Styela clava: one gene and its partner. The main gene of each other region encodes a partner of the protein of the gene in region 2 in a complex. Links are inferred from orthologs where the notes say so. Each region holds a gene or a part of one and is shown on either strand. Other genes may lie near its edges.

Region 1 (11,207 bases), about 5.3 Mb from region 2:
CCAACATTATGTAAACTGAATATTCTGTGATCTCTATTTATAATCAACATATGAATGGCATTTAGTTATTTCTGAATCAATTCAAAATATGTAGTTACAATATTAACATTTTTCAAAACAAAAGTGCTAACAACATTAACGCAAATGACGGTAATAACAAATAAAATTGTTTGCCTTTTATTTGATTACATGAATCAATGCTGTTTTGACAGACGAATCTATTACTTAGATCACACCTATAATTAGACTACATATTACTCATCATATTCAAATATCGAGCCCCTATGTAGTTATTGTACTGTTGTAAAAAGCTAATAAAAATCATAATATGTATTGATTTCCTTGTGTGGTGCAATACAACCTTTGAAAGCAAAGGATATGAATTACATTAATGTAAGTAGAGACGTCAATACATGTGACGTAATGCTTCATTATTGATTCTGAATTATTTAAGGTTCTTTCATGCTTCGCGTGGATAAATCTTGGCCTAAGCTAAAGTTCTTAATTATGGTCCAGTACATTTGGAAATCTATGATGCTTCAGTATTCTCATGTTTTAACCTTTGAAAAATACAATTGTTCAACTTATCAGCAGGTGATATAATATTCTGATATTTGAACATTTCTTTTTTAAAAGTAATATGATTGTTATATCAATTCATGATATAAATTTGAAACAGATTGCTTTATCGGAAATATATACTCGCTTTCTTATTAATATTTAAAATGTATATAAAGATGTTCTTCTGAAATAGCTAGTAGAAGTAAATGCTAGCCTATAGCATCTTATTTATGGTATTCAAGTTCCGTCACATAGAACAAAAATATTTGCTTTGCATAGATAGATATACTGCAGTCTACAAATATTATGAAATTGTGAAAGACTGTCAATAAATATATTATCTAATTTATCTCCAAATTGAACTACCGTAATTTCCAATAATAAAATTATATTATTTAAAAGAGATTCAAGAATATGAATTGTTCATGTAGTAGCAATAAGGAATGTATAACACAAACACACATTTCCTAAGTATGAACCTCATTCTAGGTGGAAAAACAAACAGTATCAGGAACACTTAAAATCCACTCACGTCAATGACTCAAACAACATTCAAAAACAGAAATAGTTAAAAGCTAGTTGAGACCGGTTACTAAGCTACCATAACAAGGTGGTTTCATGATATAAATATTCATGCAGTAATTGAATTAGTTAGTAAACAGCCCATAGTAGAAGCTTGAAAACAAAAATAACAACCAAAATAAGGTTTATCAGGCTTAGTACCAATACAAGACATGATTAACTTCTTTCTAAATAACCAAAGCTCGAATTTAATAGGCTGATATAGGAATTTTATCATGTTATTTGTTGTCTGTGAAAATCAAAGTCTACAAGAAAAAAAATAGCTACAAAGAACAAAGATTAGAAACACAATAGGAAAACTATTGCTTCAGTGTCACTTATGGTGAATAATCTGCTAAGCATTACAAAATTCTGATGCAACATGGTTGAAAATCGCACTTCCTGGCTTTGTGAATTTATACTTTGAAATGAGCCCCAAATTCAGGAATTGTTCCTGAAAGTGATCCATTATTGTATATGTACAACAAACAGCCTTCAGGGAAAGCCGTAAAACTAAATTAGGTAAAATAACTTTTATTTGCTTCATGTAATTTATGGCGTATAAAGCCATAAAAAAAGCTTGAAAACCTGGTTACATCAAGTCATCAAATAGGGTTCATTTCTGCCATGCAACTATATACAACAATTTTGGGGGAATTATCTTCCTAGAAAAATCGTATTATAGAAAATAGAATTTACTTCGATAAATTTTTCCATGGTGGCATTGGTTGGGTTGTGAGTGATCAGAAACCTCATGTTCTTGTATTGAACTTCTACTGGTGCTGGTCTGTTCATTCTTGCCATTCTTTGTCACAGCTTTCTAGAAACAACAGTTCCTTTTAGTTATTAAAAAATTATCAATCCAAAAATATGGTTACTTTAAGTAGGTGATATTGAATAATGAATCAATAATACAAAGCTATTTTTACTATAATTACAAAAATTATAAAATCAATCTCTATGAATATATAATGATGTGTAAAATATTTGTTCAAGTTTGATTCAAATATATATTGCTCATTAAAACACTATTTTTAGACTGTATTTAGATTAACAAATTATCCGATTTCAATTCTCCCAGATTGAGATAATATGGCTCTATGAATATTCAAATAGTTTCTTATACAAAGGCAATTTCGAACAGTTGCAAAAAAGCCTTGAGGCAATTTCCTGTCACAACCAAATTATTAAATCACCTGAGTTCAATAAATCTCTTCAATGTTAGTCAGAGAGCTGACAGCAACACAGTTAAAATAGGTTTTACTACATGATATAATATTAGCACATGCACTAACACAAAACCTATAGGCTTTCTAAAACAATCTATTAGAAGAAACAGTAAAATTTTTACACACTGTCTGCTTCCGATGCTAAATTTTTTGTTTGATTATCAAAATCCTACTTGTCAGTAGATTCGATACAACTCACAATGCAGTGGGAAACAACCTGGCCAAATGGTAGAGGGATCTAAGACCTTTTGAACATATTTTGCTTTTGAGCATGGAAAATTGTACCGTAGTTATGAAATTATGCTGATAATCAATGATTACAAATGATGGTGGAGTTTTAATAATGGGTTGCATAATGATTTCATAATATTACTCCAATAAAATATCAATCTGAATATTCTAAAAATATTCAGTCTTCCTAACTATAACAAATTTATTCCATTTAATAAGGTTATATATATTTTTTTAAATTCGTGGAATTAAACCTCCTTAATAGTGGTTAGGTGTCATTTATATTTAGTAATATAGCAAGCTTAAATAAAAAGCTGTTTGACAAATTTTCTCCTTTTCTAGTGACCACCCTGTATATTGCCCAGCTTATGATCTGACTTATTAATCCCAAAATCAATTCAAACATAGACACTTTCAAGCAATTACCAAATACATTTTCTTGGCCATACCTCTAATATACAAGGAAGACTGAACGTTATCTAACTATTGCTCATCAACTAATAAAATGAAGCAACTAAAATATAACCCTAGCACAAGAGTGTCAACTATCATCACATTTCAAATGAAGTGAGAGGTGTAAAACTGTATGTTTGTTATTGGTAACACTGTCATACAGATGTCAACAGAGACATATATAAAGACCTGAATCTTGAAATTTCAATATTTTCTTGAGTTGAAGATATATCAATAACAATAACTGCCATAATAAATAGCAAGAAGATTGATAAAAATTATGGACAATTTCAAATTTAAGAGGCTCAAATTATGGTCAATTTGTACAATTCACATATTCTAATTTTGTTTGTCATATCCATCAATGTATGAGCATATATATGTATATATATTTTTTTTTTGCTGCTTTGTATTCTTTATTTTGAAATACAAACTTTAAACAAAGAGATTTGTGTTAGTGTGCAAGGTTCCTGAATCACTTGAATTATATGCATACAGTGTAGGCAGTTAGTCTTATCTGACCCCAACTAATATTTCTATCATAATATTCATTTTTATTCAAGCAAAATCACTTCCATTCACGACATTAACAATTTTGATTCAACTGTAATTATAATCTAGTTTTATAGCACAATGTATGAGATACAAACTTGAAAAGTATCGTAACTTACATTCAAAAACTCTTGGCAAATGTTGACAGAGGCTACTAGGGTTTTAATAATGAAGTCGAGGTAGTTGTATGTCGCCTTCAACGTCGCAGTGATGACCCCTCAATGACTTCGTTTAAACAAAAACTTCACCCCATTCGATTACCTAAAAGAATTGAATTCATGACATTTCAATGCCTATGAAGACTTGAAAAGATATAAAAAAAAATCGAATTGTGAAATAAATAAAGCAAGGTCAAGAGTCAGTAAAATAATAGGAAACTTTCAAGACTTTATCAGACAAAGATAGTACAAACTATGTTCGGAATATTTCGAAACTTCAAGAAGCATTTACATTTGCCTTTAACCTTGTAAATTGATAAAGTGCTGCGTGACAATAAAACATTGTAAAAAGATTTGCTCCATTGCTTGTTCAGTTTGAAAATAACCAATATAATGTCATGAAACTGATGATTTGATAAATAATCATTTCCTAACATCCGGTTTTTTAGGGAAAATTACACAAAAGTGGGAAATTGTGGTAAAGGTAATTACCTGAATAAAAAATGAATTATCTTTCGTTTCTAAATTTTGCTGATAGCAATCTCTTCCGTTATTATTTCTGGTATTTCCAAATACCAGAAACTGTGTAGATTCACCTGAATAATAAATAAATTAAACCAGATTTGACATAGCTTGCTCATAACTCAAAAAAATGTGATAATTTGCGAAATATATTTGAATGAATGTGCATCTATATTACAATGTTCTCCAATTGAATTTCAGCTACTCATTTAGAGATTTGAATGGGAATATACTTGACAAAGTAAAAATGGAAATATGATTGAAAATATACCAAACTCATTCAGAGATGGAACTCTAGTTATATCAAGTATCTAAAAATTTGAATTTTACACTTGTTAACGATAAAAACTAAGACTGAAGAGATATAGAGATTAATTATACATCTACCCAGTACAGTGGAAACTAATATTAAACATAATTTTTACATTGGTAAATATTAATTAAATTGAATTTAAAATACAGCTACCAGATAAATTTAGCAATATACAAGTAAAGATAATTCCAATTCACAATTACTTTGCAATTCAAAAACATTTTACCTTGTATGTTGTGCGTGGCAAAGGGCACAGTGGCTTTCTGAAAATGATTCCAGAGACAACATTGACAGTCAATCAATTACAGGTTTTAATATGGCTGGTTGAAAAGTAATGAAGAATATTCATTGAAATTATGATCTCATGTCAAAAAGCTCAGGAAGTTTTCATGTATAATTCTAGCACACAATTTCATGTGTATTATTCCAAGTCATTTTTATGCACTAGTTCCAACTTTATTTCATCTCTCGCCAATAGAGTATATTTCGATATTAGCAAATTTTCAACAATTTCAAAAATATCAAACTTCAATTTGAAACTTTGATATCGATTCAAACTATTACATGTACATTTTAAATCAAAAGTTTTGCCACTCCAGCACTCAAAGCTTTTTAAAGTGAACATTTAAAATCACTATTTCCTGTCTTTAGAGACTAGCTAAATTGGTACCGTACCTATTTCAATATTTCAAATATTCTGAGCAAGAGGCATGCCCTCTGCTATGCTCTGAACATATACGGTACCGTACCATTTTTGCATTTAGTTTTCATTACATATTGATCCCACAACTCTCCGACTTGTATGTTACTATAGTCAGATGGTGCTTAATAAGTTGGATACAAGTGCACACATCTGATACCGAAGTCTATTGGCGTTATTCTAAATTGAAAATGTATTTCTGTGAAACGAGCCTCATTCTACAGTTCTAGCTTCGCATAACTACCGGTACGCAATATCAGAATATCAACCCGCGCAAGCTACTACCTTGTCTTTCAATTCAAGGCCTGTCCCTGGTCATCGTAACAATCAGACAATACTGCAATAGGTGGATAGCGCAACTGCCACTACCCGCACCGGTACCGTACGCAGAAATACATACAGACACAAGCGTATAAAAGTATAAGTAGATCAGCATCTGTTAGCGTCATAACTTCGTCACGATTGTTTTCGAGTTTCAACAAAGAAAAAGGTGAAAAATTCCCTTCGTAAACACACAATTTTTATTCCAGGGTTTATATTTCTAGAAAAGTTTCGGTAAATCACCCACGGTGGTCCTCAGAGCTATTGCACAAAAATGATCCACGCCGACTAAACAAGCAAACTATTGCGACACTCCCGCCAGTAACCGGATGATACCGGTCCAGCGTAATTCGCAATCGCTTACCATATACGTACCTAGATATCGAAGAAAGAACACCGTTGTTACCCAGGAGAAGCTGCCTTTTCTACCATAATACTATTATGGTAAATAAAAGACTCATAAAATACCCTTAATGATTTCTGGTACATTATTATTAGTCTATTTTTCGAAAAAAAATGACAAAGGCAGAGCCCACAATGCAAACCGCCTACATACCACAACTGAACGCGAATGCGTTGCCACCGAAACTATCAAGAAAGGAGATATTCGGTATGTCTCACCTATATTTCATTGTGTATAACTGCCTAGGCCCTAGGGCGTTCATTTATAAGTTACACATTATCAGGCCATGACTGCTAGTTTGAATTTTTAGAATAAGTTCTGAAAAAAAACGGCCACATTCCTGCTTCTGTTCAAATTTCATCGGAAACACTTGGCGACAGTGTACACGCCAATGCTTTGTCGCGATGTCCATGCCCAATCCCCTCCCAAAATAGGAAATAGAGCGTGAAGAGTTTCCAACGTACTTTTTCTAGAATAAAAAATTACTTCAACCTGTTCCCTAGTGAGTGTAATGTATCCATCTCCTCAGTGGCTATAGATAGATTTAGGTCATATAAAAAATGAATTCAATTTGCGTTCATGAGTGCGTTTACGGACGGATCAATGTTTGTGGTAAACTCAGTCATCAATTGAACATTAAGTCATTACTTTCTGTCCATTCAAGTTTCAAAATTGAACAACAATTATGAAATCCTTAAAAGTGAATGCTCTTATTTATACAGATTCTGTTTAACAAACTGCCTAAAAAACTGTCATAACACTTTTGTAGCATATTTGATGGCAACATAAGGGTGTCACAGTTTGAAAACCTTCAGTTTTCTGTGGCTCCACTCATCTGTGGCAACTATTTTGTGCAAATGATTTTGTTTACTGTCGATTTTAGTGTAGTACTATTCTTACTACTAACAGATGAAACTTTCTGCAGCTACAGAAAAAACTAGTCATACAATAAATTTTTATTTCAAAATACAGAAACTGAATAAATATAGGCATCATCATAGCACAATGAGAAGCTGAGACTACAGCTTGACAATAATATTTCATAAGAAAACTTTGTAATAAGCAAAACAATTTCATCAGAAGAAATAAACACAGCACAATGTTCTACACAGGCAATATACCTAAATCTATTTCGAGGAAATTCACTCTAGGAAATGAAAAAGTACTTCAAACAGTAACAAATAACGTAAATACAATTATTCACACAAAAAACATTTTGAAAATTTACCAAACTGAAAAAGTGTTAGGTCTATTTTTAAATGACTACACTAAAATATTAGTGACGATAGCCATAAATAGAAACAAAGGATAAGGAAAAGAACCAAATGCACTGATTATTTGGTCATCATTCAAGGCTGAAAAAAAGTTTAAAAATATCTTACATATCAAAATCTGTGTGTAGAGCACTTGTACTCAAAATATACCAACAGTAACAAGAAGAGCAAAAAAAGCAAACACATGTGGCACTCCGGTCTTTGCATCGCTTGTTCAGCGCCGTTTGCGGCTCCCAACACTGCAGTGAAGGTTCGCTAGGGTAATCAATATATCAGTTTCCAAATATTATATGATAAGCATGAAATCGGTAATTCATATAAAAATAATAGCATATACTTACATTCAAGCCGCGTATTATCAGTAAAAACTGGAGGCACAGATTTATGAACATATTTGTTTTGAAAGCTTCATATTAATCGGAATGTTGAAAATTTTATCTAGCAAGACAAAATGTGAGGTATGGTAATCATGATTCTAAGACTGCAAAATATGATAATAAATATTGCTAGTTACATAGTGTTGCAATGTGCAAAACAAAATCGAAAACATGATTGATTCAGTCATGAAACATTGATAATAATTACAATGTTGCAGCCAATCTTTCATCATAATTGTCAGTTTTACACAACATCATTTAAGATATCTATGCTGTAAGTAGATACCCCGAAATGTGAAAAGTATGTTACATCAGATTTCTGTCGTATGATCAAGTTAAATAGAAATAAGTCGCCTATATAAAATTTGACGAAAAAAATGTTTTCCCTGCAAAAATGACAAAACTACAGAGAAAGCAGCAATTAGGCTTATTCTTCTGGATTATTTAGAATTCTAAAATACATCTTTTGCACATCTTATAGATACAAGGTGAAATATTTCTCAGCAACAAAATGAACAGAGATTGTATACAGAGTATTATAGAAAAATGGCAAGATCCATATTCAGTAATATAATATAGAAGATATGAATAAAAAATATCAAATGCTAGTCATGATGCAATAGGCAACTGTCGTGGGCAGGTCCTCATTCCTGCATATTTCAGCATAAGCTAGATCAGGAAAGTCCAGAAGGCAACAAATATTTGAATGCATTCGACAAAAGGAATGATAACCTTAGGGATAATGTAGGTTACCTAATTTGCAAATACATTTATTTCGATCTATTGACATCCTGACAATCGTCTTATTTGACTTAGAAAAACTAATGAAACAATGTTTTTGGCAACTATGTCGCTGTAAATTTATGGTGATTTATGCAAGTATATACTCGTCTCAATATGATATTATTTCGGAATGTGTATTCAGCAAAGTGTAGACTATTCAGTTCTGGACATCAGCGAATATTTTTAACACCATATCTATATTGCAAAACATATTGTCTCTAAAGCCTTCCTACGTTTCATACAAACTCAGCTACATAGACATAAAAAGACATTCAGATAAAAACCTCAGCTCTTGTGCTGTTTCTCCGTTTCCGCGTCAAGGGGTCAGAATTCGGAGCTGTAAATCTCATAGATCGTGTGGATATGGGCAATGTCCTAAGTTGATTACCATTAGTGCTACTTTTAGACGTTCCACTTGCTGATAAATCTCTGTGAGATCCAGATGTTCCCAATCCTCTTTCTTGCTTCCCTCGAGTTAAAGTTAAAAATGAACGAGCAGGATGCCCTAGTTTTCTCTCTGGTTCTTTAGTAGACTGAGAGCCTATCTTATCTAAAAAAATTAATTTTATTACTGAAAATTTAAACCTACAATTTACTATAAATGACATCACAAATCATGTCATTTTCTAAATTTCTTTCTGATTGGAAGAAGTATTGAATATATAATATACCAAACTACATTTTTAAATTTTAATACAACTATAACTTAGCATGCATCAGTTCTTCAATACACAATCTCGATAGTATTGGCCTCAACGCATCTCTCTTCACCCTCAAAATGCCATTTTTGTGTTCATTTTTACATTCACAGTGTGTATTTCCAGTATGAACACGAAGGCCGAAACCAAGTAATACCGAATCTTTTACAGTACCGGTAGACAGTAGGCAACCTTTTGAAAAAACTCTGAACCTCGCTGACCACAAGATTGCCGAAATGCGATTGCGGAACTGGATTTTTTCAAATTTTAATGACGTCATCACACAAAACTTTAAAATGAAAAACGAATTCCATAGAACCCAGAAATTGTTTCTAGCGACAACAACAATCTTTTACCACTGAAAATTTCAGAGCAATCGGTCCAGCAGTTAGAGAGAAAAACAATTTTTTCATATCAACCACAAGAAAAAGAATAATAACAGCAACAATTTAACAATACGATCCGTAAGTCTGATCTCATTTAAATCAATATGTCACCTGCGTCATTGTTATTATTGACTCCAAACACATCAGGATGTTGTCTTTGAAGTTTCTTTATCAAATCTTTTTTCTTCCTTGGAGCGATAGATGTACTGGATTGGATAGTGGAGTATAATTCTCTGACTCGAGAGTGAGTGTATGTAACTCTTTGTTCTTGATACTCTGATTCAGATATCATTGTGCAATATGCTGTATCTGAACAATAACATGAGAAAATTTTTTTAACTTTTATTTATGTTTTGGAATCTTTCATCCCAAATTCATCTTTTTGATGCTATAATTCAGTCGAAGGATACAAACTTTAAAATTGACAAAACCAATAAACAGTGGTATTTTTTAAACTATACTTGCAAAAATATTGGCATTTATGGAAGCCATGTCTTGCAAAATACGAATAATTGCATCTAATTTTTTTATTAACATCAATATCAAAACTCAACCTGTGACAAGTGAGGGACTCTCAATCTCTCCTTGTTCCAACAGATCAACTTTTCTTTGAACAATCATTTCAACAGATGCAGGAAGCATAAATACTCTCAGATGGTGTTGAACCATGAATCGAACTAAACCTTTACAACCATTGATTCCATTCTCACAAGCAATACTGTTTGGCATTCGTAATATTGCAGGAGTGAATGTTTCAATAACAAGTGCTTGGTTGTTACCCTGAAATAAAAGGAAATACTAAATTTCTGAGGAACCATAACCATTTTAATTGGAGTTCCATGTTTGGTAAGTTTCTATTCAAGACTGTCTGAAGAGTAATCAGCTGCTATCAAAGCTGATCAAGCATTCTCAACAAAAAATAAAAGCTTGCATATGCCGAAACTTTTGCTATTGAAATTTCTTATTCTCCTAGAACATAGATAGAAATAGAGTATCAATTCGTTGACATAGTGTTAGGAGCCACAGACAAACGTTTTGTCAGTCTTGAGTCAGAGCTAAATTTTTTGTCAATCGAGAGTCAGAGTGGAGTATTTCAAGCAATTCTTGAAAAAGAGAACAATGGCTCTTTGCAGTATCAAGATGCTCGGTGAAAATTAATGCAGTACTGTAAAACACTATTACTATATACTGTTTGGACCAGCATTCCAATCATATTGGTCCTCACACTGTGATCCTCGCAATATAATAAATATCTATGAATATATTTGGAGTTATAGAAGCTACATTACCTTATGTACAAGTCTGACTTCGTTCTGTGTACAAACAACATGTAAAAACATACAAAGATGTCGCAATTCTGTCAGTCTTGCATCTGCCAGAAGATGGACAAACAATTGTGTTGCTTCCATGATTTTATCAACAGGTCGAGACACTGAAAATGATTCAATAAAAGTTTAAAATTAAATAAACAAATACTTATATTATTATAGAATTACATGCTTGTAGATTAAGAGATGAAATTCCTGAAAAGTAAAATGTTGCAGTAAAGCAGTAAAAATTTTGCACCCTCAGTCAAATTTTCAGACTTTTCATGATGAAAATTGACAGAAACTCAAAGAGAATCGAGTTAACTAAGAATTTTGAACAGATAATTTATAGAGGCATACAACTGAGTTTTTGTAATC
Region 2 (10,792 bases):
TAACAATAGCTGTAGAACAAAGGGTATATTGTACAATACTCTTTATTAAAATTACAGACTAGGTGTGTAATAACATACATAATATAGCATTGTTACTTCTTACTTGATTACTCCCAAAGCCTTAAAATCAGTAATTAGTGATCATCAGGAGGTTAGGATGTGAATCCTATGTAAAAAGCTTGAAATAGTTCCAAAATTTACAAAATAGGAAAATACTAAAATAATTCATGATAAATGCAAAATTGAAACAATAATTTTTTTTTCCTATTCAATTCAAATCATGCCAAAAGCCAACTTTTTAATGAGAAAAAATATTATTACAGATTTTCTTGATTAATAAAGACTGTCATAACAGTAATTTTTTTTTCAGGGTTAACTAATTTTAAATGCCGTTATTGCGAATTTTTAATATCAGTATCATAAATAAAACACAAGAAATCCTCAGAATTTAGTTCAAAGTATGAATGTCTAAATATTATGAGTTATGACTATTTTGGATTTGCAACTCTCACACAGCACTGATATATTTCTGCAAGGTTTCATTTGTTTCAAGTCAAACTTTCTCATGCAAACATAATTGATAATTCAACTATCAATTACAATATGAATATTTTATAATAATGCCTTGTTAACAATAGAACACTGATAAACAAAAAAAAAATAAAAAAGGTATGAATTTAGTAAACAGCAAAAGTATAAATATAGGATTTTATTGCAATATAGGAATATCACAAAGGCAGTCGTATTTTCAAAATTATTATTTATGTTAACACAGTAAAACACAAGAACATGGTATTACATATTGTAAAATCACAATGTAATTTGAGACATTTATTATTGATTTTATGTAGCAACACATTGTTGGGTCAATAATCTGACAGATTACATTACATTTAAATCATTGGTAGTAATTTAAAAATCAATAGGTTACTGATACTACCTCTGCATGTACATGAATTTGTAAATTCAATCTCTCTATCGCAACTTAACATAACAATAGTTTAAGTAAGAACAAATGTACATGTACAGGTTGAAAACACTAAAACTATTGGCAGGACAATACTAATAATATAAAATAATAATAAATTGTATCCATGGTACGAATTTGACACTGTATATCATTTTATGCAAAAGACTAAATTTTTTCTGGAAGTCCTCTTGGGGTCGCTTTTTTTTCCAATAAATTTCATTTTATTTATTCATTCCATTTTCTGGTAAATTTATTTTTCATTTGACATTAGTGTTGCTCAATTGTATATATGGGAAGCATTGCAGCGAAAAAAAAATAGGCAGAGGCCCGCCCATTTGCTTGAGTAACGCCACGCTACAAATTCAGTAACTCTCTGATGGCACACAAGCGCGACTTACGCACTCTGGTTAATTTCTGGTAAAGTGAATATTTAGTAAAAACGATTGTTTCATATTATTAATTTAATTTTGCAGCTACAAAAGAACTACAGTAAATGTTGTTTAGTATTTGAGCATGTCCTTGAATCAAAAGATTTTACAACAATTATTTTTTAAAATTTTAGATTTTTTAGAATTTTGACAAAAAGGTGTTGGGAACCACTGAGTTAGTGTATGACTGGTCAATTTGAAACATTCAAAATTGAAACTATTTTACGAGCAAAATTTCAAAATATCTAAGCTTTTGTATACTAATATCCCTACTTTCAACTGCAAAAACCTGGATTATTTATATATTAATTAAACATTCAAATATCACTTTGTATAATGTGACGATCTGGTAAATAGATATAAACCACAAAGGTCATTATTTCGAAATTTATGTGTCCCTAAACAAGCTTTTCAAGTTTAAAACAAACAAATACAAACCAATAGTTGATCCGATAACAGCCCATAATCCAGAAGTAATGTTTTCCAATAGAATAGTCATTGTGTTGTTCACCAGGACATTACCTAATAGCAAAGTGCAGAGTAAGTAATTTCCCTTTTTACGAATCGGATAAATTGCTTTGGAATATTTTTTCTCTGCAGTGCTTCCACAGTTTTGAACAATTTTCAACTCCATTGGATCGAGCGCCATAAGTCCAAGATTGAGACCAGAGAATATACCAGACATGAGTAGAAGGACTGCAATGAGCGATATCTGAATTTGAAAAATGTTACATTAACAACAAATACAGTAGTTTTTATTACGTAATGGCTACTATGTTGTGAAGATGAACCATACATATTTCTTCACATCTACTTATTAGAGCTCTATTCATTTTTGATTGGTAACTCAAAATCAAGTTTTAAGCAAAACTGTATATTAAATAAAAAACAAATGCAAATTTTACTATCACAGTAAAAAATTACATATTTGATAAATATAAAAATAAGCTAAATTTATAGAGAAAATTCAATTATGTCATAATTGTGACGAAGATATTAAAAATTTCATCACAATCACGAGGTTTATTGATTTGAGCAAAACGTTGAAATCGATAGTATTTATAAGTTTGCTTTGAGAAATAGATATTGAGTATTGTTTTCAATGTCATTACCCTTATTTACCTCTAAAAAATTATGATTTGTCCACAAACTCAATAGTACATACATTAATAAGTATTTAACTTGGTGAAGATTATTAGAAGGTGATAATGGAAGACATCCTATGACCTTACAATGATCTGAGATCTTACTAAGTAATGTGTGAATATGATGGATCAAAATGAAATTGAATTGAACTCAGGAAAATTAGAATATAAATCTGCAGAATGATATCATTTAAAACTATTTCTACATTTAACGGCAAAAATCATAACATAACTAATTTGCAACAGTGAGCGCTACTACTCAGTGGTAAAGTTTCATGACATCACAAAATCGTGTAAAATTTCTTGTAGATCAAAATGAAAATTTTTGTAATTTCCAATATTATTATTCGAAGAACGTAAATTGTGGAAGGCAGACGTGTGTCACTTCTCCATCTGCCCATGATTACTAATCATGACAAGGCAGGACTAATTTCACACCTAAATGTGTATGCGGAAATGTACACAACTTCAAAAAGTTGTTGTTTATCATTGGCGGTGTTCAAATAATTTCTCTTAAACGTGTGAAATATTAAAGAAATCTCTCTGAAGCTAAGATTTCTAGAACTTGAATTCTAAAATTTGAATCACTCATTCACAGTGTTTATTAAAAAGTTAACTAAATACAATTATATTGGGCATCTTTAGATGCTATTCTTTGAACAAAATAAGGAGTCATTAGTTGTTATACAAATTATAAAATATTATGCAGCTAGACAATTGCAATTTTCAGTCTAGTATTATGAATTTTTTATGTTCTACTGCAGACAGAACGGCTGACAGTGCACTTTGTCTAAATATCTTTTATAAATAGACTGTATGAAACCTCTAATAAATAAAATATATCACAGGTGACACTTCTAAAATTTCAAAGCAATAAATACTTACAACTACAATGCAATGACAATTAATTTGTTGTATTTTATACTTTGGATAATAGATTGCCAAAACTGAATTATTATACGAAATAGCCCACATCATGCTAAGCGCATTTTTGTGAATATTGAATATTGAGCTTATACATTACTACAATGGAATCCAATAGTCCATGACTTTTTCAGATATTTAAATTTTTTTTATTAAACTATTGCAATACAGAAATCTCGAACACAGTGGTGAAACATTTTCTTATATATATTTTATTCCTTTCAAAAAAATAAAAATAATTAACATTATACAACAGCAACATAACTAGAATTATTTTTTGAATTGAATATTCAAAAATATTCCTCTTTGAATAGGGCCTAAAACATATCACAAAGAGCATGCGATTACCTAACTCAATACCAACTAGATATGCCTTTACAGCCGCAAAGATAATTGTGAAAACTGCCTAATGATATTTAAGTTAACTAATGTAAAAAACTCTGCATATTATAAACTCTCCAAACTGCATATTATAAACAGGGAGTATACCTGAAGTGGTATAGGCATCAATGTGCCTTCACCATGCGTTTGAATCCTCACAGATATTTTGACATAATTTTTTGACCCTTGGTGCAAATAATGTGATGTGTTGTTATTTTTTACACAGAGAAAAAATAACTGTTGGTCATCTTCAACGGTATGTTTGAGAGTAACAACGACTTTTCCTATGGTTTGTGTAACATTGGTTGATTCAACTGGAAATGATGGTTGTTCCATATAATCATCACAAATTTCTCCATAGCTTAAAGCTTTTTTTACAAAAGTGATGCGGCTTAATTTTTGCAGATCAGTACCAAACATTACTAGAGTTGTCGGTTGCGGCATGTAGACAATGGGAACACCTTCACTGGTATAATTTCCTGAAAATGATATAACAGATTGACGAATAACGATAATGCAGTAGGATAAAAAATGCTTCTCATGCAAAATAAATATATTTTCGGGTGATGTAAAATGTGAGTTTATATAATGAAGTCATATAAAACATCGATAAGTTTGAATCTATTCGATGACTATCTGTCTCAGTTGTCTATTGTGTGACACATAGTGGTAATCAATTTTGATTAGAGAATCTACTCTCCAAGTTGTACACTAATTGGGAAAATTAATTATGGAAAAATGCAGTTGGTTGAGAATTTTATAGACCAATGTAAACCAAAACTAAACAGTAATTTCACTACCAACTCAATATGCATAAGAAATTACAGTCTAAGCAATAAAATATGAAATCATCATGAGAAACATATATTCAATGTAAAACAAATAGCTTCAACTCCATTTAAATTTAATACATATCTTTTGCAAAATTAATTAAATTAAACGGATGAAATATTATAAACTTTACCTGAATTTCCCGCCATAAGTCCAGTAACTTGTGAATTTGCTTCTGCGATGCATTGCGAAGGAAAAATAAATACAAATAGAAACAAAAGATGGTAGTATCCAATATGCTTATTCAAACCTAAATTATTGCAGTTCATAACATGATGTAACACCATTTCTATGACCAGATGACTGGTATCCGCTTTTTTTACCTGAAATTGAAGAATCAGTTGAGAATGTGCTTAGCAAACCATTATACTGTTATAGTCTAGGCCAGTGGTTCCCAAACTCTGGGTCACATTTTCTCCAATCAATGGTGGAATAAACCCTTAAATCAACAGTCCATTTTTCTCTTGCTTTTATTGGCAGAACAAAATGCTTGTCATTCAATCGAATTATTTTGTATAATATCACTAATAAATGGGGCCATGTTCACAACACAATGTAGGTACTTCTAGTTGGCGTAGCACAACCTATTTGGCATATGTTAGTCCTGACCCCCACCTAACTACGTCATTCAAAAATTACATCACTATGACATCACAGCAATGTAATAAGACCCCCCAAACTATACTAACTGTCATCAGGTCTCGTGTAGTTTTATACCTAACATACTTCTAGTGGGCGTAGCATAACAATTTTTTGACATGTTAATCCTAAACCCCACCTGACTACGCCATCCAAAAAGTACGTCACTATGACATCACAATCATGTCACGGAGCTTGCTAAATATATGTACAATCGCCCGAAATGGCATCATCGCCGACGATAAAGAACTGACTAATGTCAGCGATCTCTCTCATATTGGGATCGTTGATAAAACGAGGGAAATACCTGTTCGATTTCGGGTGCTTGTCTGCACGTCTTGGATGACAGTTCGTAAAGTTTGAAGGTAGGATAGGATTTACATATTTATCCCGGGGGAGAGGAAAGCCCGCAAGACTGCTTAATCATATGGCAAACCATGGCCGCTCGTCCAGTTACCTGTCCAGGTCGGGTATGGGATTAGATAGCCAGTTATTTGTTTTCGGAAGCATGGACTTGATGGTGGAGGAAGCCGTAACTGCCAGCGGTTACGTGAACCACCCAACGGCGGCTAGGAGTCCAGCAATCATCTCGCGCATGATCATCCTTGCATGAGATTCAAACCTATGATTCCACGAAGGGTAATCAGAGATGCGGTGGAAAGCGTATTCGGGTCTGGTACCGTAAAAGCGCCTAACTTCGGACAAAATTTTTGAACGGCCATATCTTGGCTAAAACGCGCCGTATATTGCTAATTTTAATTATTATAGGTTGCGCTGTTATATCTACATCTATTCTCATCTTTTTTAATGTTGCATAATTATTTTTTTGGTAAAAAAACGGAAATTTTGTCGAAAATTGACTGCCCGGCATTCAACGGCGCAGAGCGTCGCTCCTACTGAAGCTATCGTCGTCAAAATACCATCATTCGGTAGAGGGCGACAACAATGTATATAATATATTTGAGTGATCGCAAGATGTCGTACGAGATTTAAATAAAACCTAAAATTCTGAATTATAAATTCCGTAAGAATATTAAGATTTCACGCAGCGTCAAAAATTACGTCAACCTCACGTAGATTATTTTTCGCTCACTTCCCACACGACGTCACACTGCGTCGCGGAAATGAATTTTGACGCCAGACACAACGGAGCCAATATGACAATTTCCGTTAAGATAAAGACGGCGTTTCAATCTAATATTTTTGTATTTTGTTCGGTCATGTATGAATATATGCCAAAATTACATTAATGAAAATACATGTCACACTTAATCGATGACGTTAAAAATCGAATATATAATGAACTATGATAATTCCAACGTCCATATGGCACAGTGCACTGACTTAACCATTATTTTATGATTAGTAGTCGAAATGACAGTTATTGAATACGGCCTGGGTGAATTTTATTCACTCGAAATTAAAAATAAATTTAATCTCCAACAAATAAACGGGACCTACATGTTTACAAGATTAAGTTGAATTTTAAATTAAACTTTACAATCGGATTTACCGTGTGTTTGATATAAATTATCATTTATAAAGATAACCGCGCAGAATAAAAAAAGCTATCCGTCGAGAATATTAATACTTCAAAGACTTCGATAGAAGCCCGTTGAAATACTTCATTGTGGATTGAAACGGTTTGCATCAGATATATTTACGTATGCATTTCCTGATTAAAATGACTAACGTGTTATTATACTCATCTGAAGTATCGAAAATAACGAACGAAAGATGTAAACATAGGACGACGGAAGTTTCAAATAATGCATTTTCGTCGTGACGTCAATGTTACGTTACGACGACGATCGGGCGTCTTATCTTCACGCAACGACGTGATTACGTCATCCGCATCGGGAGCCTCTTTCTCTCTGTGCGTCGCGGTTACGCAGTGAAGAAAATGACTGTCCGAAGTTAGGGCAGTGAAGGATAACGGTCAGATGGCAAGAAATATCGATTATTTCAATAGTAAAAATAGTCCAATTGAATCGAAATTTGCAGGGAATGTAAATTACCGCACGAATGTTTTACCGAGCAATTTTGGCACCGTTTGGACAATAAATGGCCGAGTTATTGACGAAAATATAGTAATTTTGTCCGAAGTTAGGCGCTTTTACGGTATAGTTTAGTACCACATGCACTTCTAGTTGGCCTGGCTCAACAATTTTTGCATATGTCAATCCTAACCCCCACCTGACTACGTCACCGAAAAATTTCCTCATTTCGGCATCACAGTAGCGTAATATGGCCCATCAAAGTATGTGGATGGTTGTCCAAAACGCGCAGACGATCACCCGAAATCGAGCAAGCGAATTCTCTCGTTTTCTCGTCATAACGATCCCGATATGAGAAAGATCACTGACGTTAGTGCAAGCTCTTTGATGTGATTGCAGGATTGTGAGGTTGTTGTGAGTTGTGACATACCGTCATCTTTGGATGACGGAGCCAGGTGGGGGTTAAGAAAAACATATGTAAAAATGGTTGTGCCACACTAAATAGAAGAACGGCGTCTAGTGAATATGTTGCAATAAATGGATTTATATCCTGTATGTATATCTATATTACTGTATTATGAAAAGTGACATTACTATTACGGTACCGGTGGCGGTACTAAGGCTATCCGCTTATTCATCAGGGATACAACCAATGATGAATGAGTTTATGATATTCTGTACCGGTTATACTCTGACGCATTATTTGATATTCAATCCAATATTATTGACATAAATTAAAATATGCGCGGTACCGTACCGGTACTGGTAAATAGATTGTTACCGTACTATTTACTGTAACGTACCGGTAGCGGTACCGGTACTAAATGGTTAAATTGTTCAACTCATTTCTGCCTTTAGAATACCAAGATTAAATGAACCCACTAACGCCAGTCGTCAGCGATCTCTCTCACATCCGGATCGTTTCACAGAAATTAACCCTACATGCAGACATGTGTGCAACCTACTGCGCTGTACTAAAGGACTATCCAGCTACTACGGTATTACACCACATGCTGCACTGAATGACTAACAGTAACGAAGTCATAGGCAGGCGGTAATGATAGAATAGATTATGAACTCGCTCAATATTTATATCGGATCATACGCATTGCATCGGATAGGTGTCGCTCGGGATATTTCCCATGGCATTGATTTCCTTATTTATATCCGTCACAGTGCTCAATTAGCTAAGAGTCAACGATGACCTGATGACGTAACAATCGTGATTTTCTAGACGCTGAGGCATTTCGTTTGCTCAGGAATTTATGCATGGTTCAATCAATCAATCAATTTTATTTCGCTCACACTGAAAGAAACAAAACGAACAACAAACAAAATGTAGAGAACCTGGAGAACGGGCATAACTTAATAAAAAAGTTACAAACGTACAAGTACGTGCCCGTCCACCAAAAACAGTCAAAAAAAACACAATAAAACAAAAGTACGATGTAAAATATGGCAATACCTTTTGCATCAATTTTAGAATGTGAGACGTGTATCTGTATAACAACAGTGCTTTTCCTACCAAAATATGGAATAAAAAAACACTCGTTGAGGTAAAATGGTGATGCTGTAGTTCAATTTCATTGAAAAAATAACACAGTGACAAAAAATTGTTACTGAAAAACAAGCTCGTTAAATAGATTGAATGTTCCATAACAGTCCACGCACAAATCATGGACTGAGGTATCGGGCTCCCTTGTCGTTTTCGATTAGTTCAATTTAAAATCATTGTATCCGTTCCAATGCTTCCAGCATTAATATTGAATTTCCACGAACGACCACCATTCCAACAGTTGCAGTGGTCCAAGTCAACCAACGACTAACGGGACCAACAGTAAATACCGAAACACACAGCGGTAGCATTCTCTAAGACTTTTCAAGTAACCACGTCCGCACCCGACGATGCTCGGAACCATTAAAAAAATATTTTTCAACTTTTATTCAATTTTGTAGAATATTTGCGTCATTTATTAAAAATCAGGTAATGGGTCTTGTATCTTGCATTCGCCATGACAAGTATTGAAAGCATTATATTGAAATATATGCTGGAATTCGAATGCGCCAGAGAGAAAAACTTGCGTTACATGCATGGAGGTGTCAAATTTTTTGCTAACCGGGCCGAGTTTCTCATAATATTGCCCCTCATGCCTAACTTTAAAAATAATAAGAGAGATAAACAAATTATAGTTTTTGTTATACACGAATATGAACCAATCAATGATCAAGTGAGAGTGGAATATTTGTATTATTATTATTTCGATCATCTAACTAAGCAACAAACTCACCCCTAAATCGTGCTTCCCGGGGCGGCTGCCTCTATGTCCCTTACCTAGACACTCCCCTGGTTATATGTCACAGGCAACTTTAGAAATGATCCTTCCCCAATCCGCTATTTTAAAGCTGTTTTTGATGATAATTTAATCTCATCTTGCAGAACACTCCAAGTTGTATTCAGAACGGAAAGTTGGACTTCTGGTTTAGTTTGAATGAAAAAATGTGGAGTGGGTGGAATTGCATAAAACAGTTGAAGTTTATGCTTGAAAGCAAAGTATAAGTTGGAAAAGTAATGCAATTGATTTAGGCTATGCACTTGATTTTTAACATTGTGAAATGCGAATGGGGTTGGGCATTTCAGAATCGAATAGTAAATTTTTGGAATCGTCCGGACGAAAATTTCGAATCGCCGCCATCTTTTTTCTTGTTCACTGAAGAGCTAGGTTGCGGGATTTTTTTGTTGAGACATATTTCTTACAATACAAACTGACATGCGAGTGATTTATTGATGAAACAGGTTTCTTATTCTGTGTGAACACAAAACCAACTGTCTGAGTGATGGAGTGTATGTTTTCAGTAGTTCAATAAAAAAGTGGCATTCAGATACCAAACTTTCAAGTATTCGAGATTTGATTCGGAAAATATTCGATTTAATTGTAAAACCACTAGGTATTTGAAAATGCCCAGCCCTAATTGCGAACAAATGTTTATTGAATTATGATAAATCAGCGGGTACTCCTAAAGTATGCGCACAAGGGTTTTTATTCTGCGGGAAATGGAGCCCCATTCGGGTTTAATTCCCCTGCCAAGACCCCATTCGGGTTTAATCCTCCCTGTACATATTTCTGAAGCGCCAATCTGCGAGGCAACTAAGCAGAGGATTCGTATAGTGACGCGTATGTCCAATAGTTTCACATGAGCCTAGTTTAACATTATATATGGGCCACAGTAAAGATCAGTAGCCTATCTGAAAATAATTTCATGGACGAGGCTACGATGCAAACATCGAAGGTGCATATTTTCATAATATGCTGTCGTCCATGCATCGCGATTTTGAACTGCGTGCTAGTACGGGTAATCACTAGAAGAATCAATCGAATCTGTGCACATTTGAGTCTCCTATTGTAGAATTGTAAAAAAGAACTAGTACGACAATCGTTATCAATGTCTCCGTCTTATCAGGACTATCCAATAGACCTC

What was found.
Region 1: the proteins of metal transporter CNNM4-like (region 2) and protein tyrosine phosphatase type IVA 1-like are in contact, whole or in part, in a crystal structure (PDB 8CT8), measured with the Drosophila melanogaster proteins. The link is inferred for Styela clava from reciprocal best matches to the Drosophila melanogaster genes uex and PRL-1. Residues at the interface, in NP_001104390.2 of Drosophila melanogaster: Leu391, Val422, Thr423, Lys442, Cys445, Glu446, Gln449, Asn450, Pro451, Phe454, Phe456, Asp458, His480, Val482, Asn484, Gly488, Asp489, Pro490, Phe491, Tyr492; in NP_001260487.1 of Drosophila melanogaster: Asp32, Ile33, Thr34, Ile35, Asn36, His37, Asp77, Gly78, Cys109, Ala111, Leu113, Gly114, Arg115, Arg142, Arg143, Gly144, Ile146, Asn147, Gln150.

What each region holds. Positions count from the first base shown.
Region 1 is NC_135258.1:8,231,552-8,242,758, forward strand, and holds the start of protein tyrosine phosphatase type IVA 1-like, read right to left. Parts: upstream 4,907-11,207; 5' UTR 4,807-4,906; intron 4,342-4,806; 5' UTR 4,238-4,341; intron 3,849-4,237; 5' UTR 3,707-3,848; intron 2,464-3,706; exon of another isoform or gene 2,319-2,463; intron 1,943-2,318; 5' UTR 1,927-1,942; coding exon 1,822-1,926; intron 1-1,821. Other genes in the region: DEP domain-containing protein 7-like, read right to left, coding at 8,711-8,988, 9,634-9,831, 10,077-10,302, 10,812-10,954. UniProt on the Drosophila melanogaster protein: Probable phosphatase. Inhibits growth possibly by negatively regulating Src64B-induced growth. Regulates central nervous system circuit formation and stabilization of synapse-dense terminal arbors.
Region 2 is NC_135258.1:13,544,568-13,555,359, forward strand, and holds the start of metal transporter CNNM4-like, read right to left. Parts: upstream 5,026-10,792; 5' UTR 4,967-5,025; coding exon 4,813-4,966; intron 4,328-4,812; coding exon 3,957-4,327; intron 2,111-3,956; coding exon 1,837-2,110; intron 10-1,836; coding exon 1-9. UniProt on the Drosophila melanogaster protein: Probable metal transporter. Acts downstream of PRL-1 and protects the nervous system against olfactory carbon dioxide stimulation.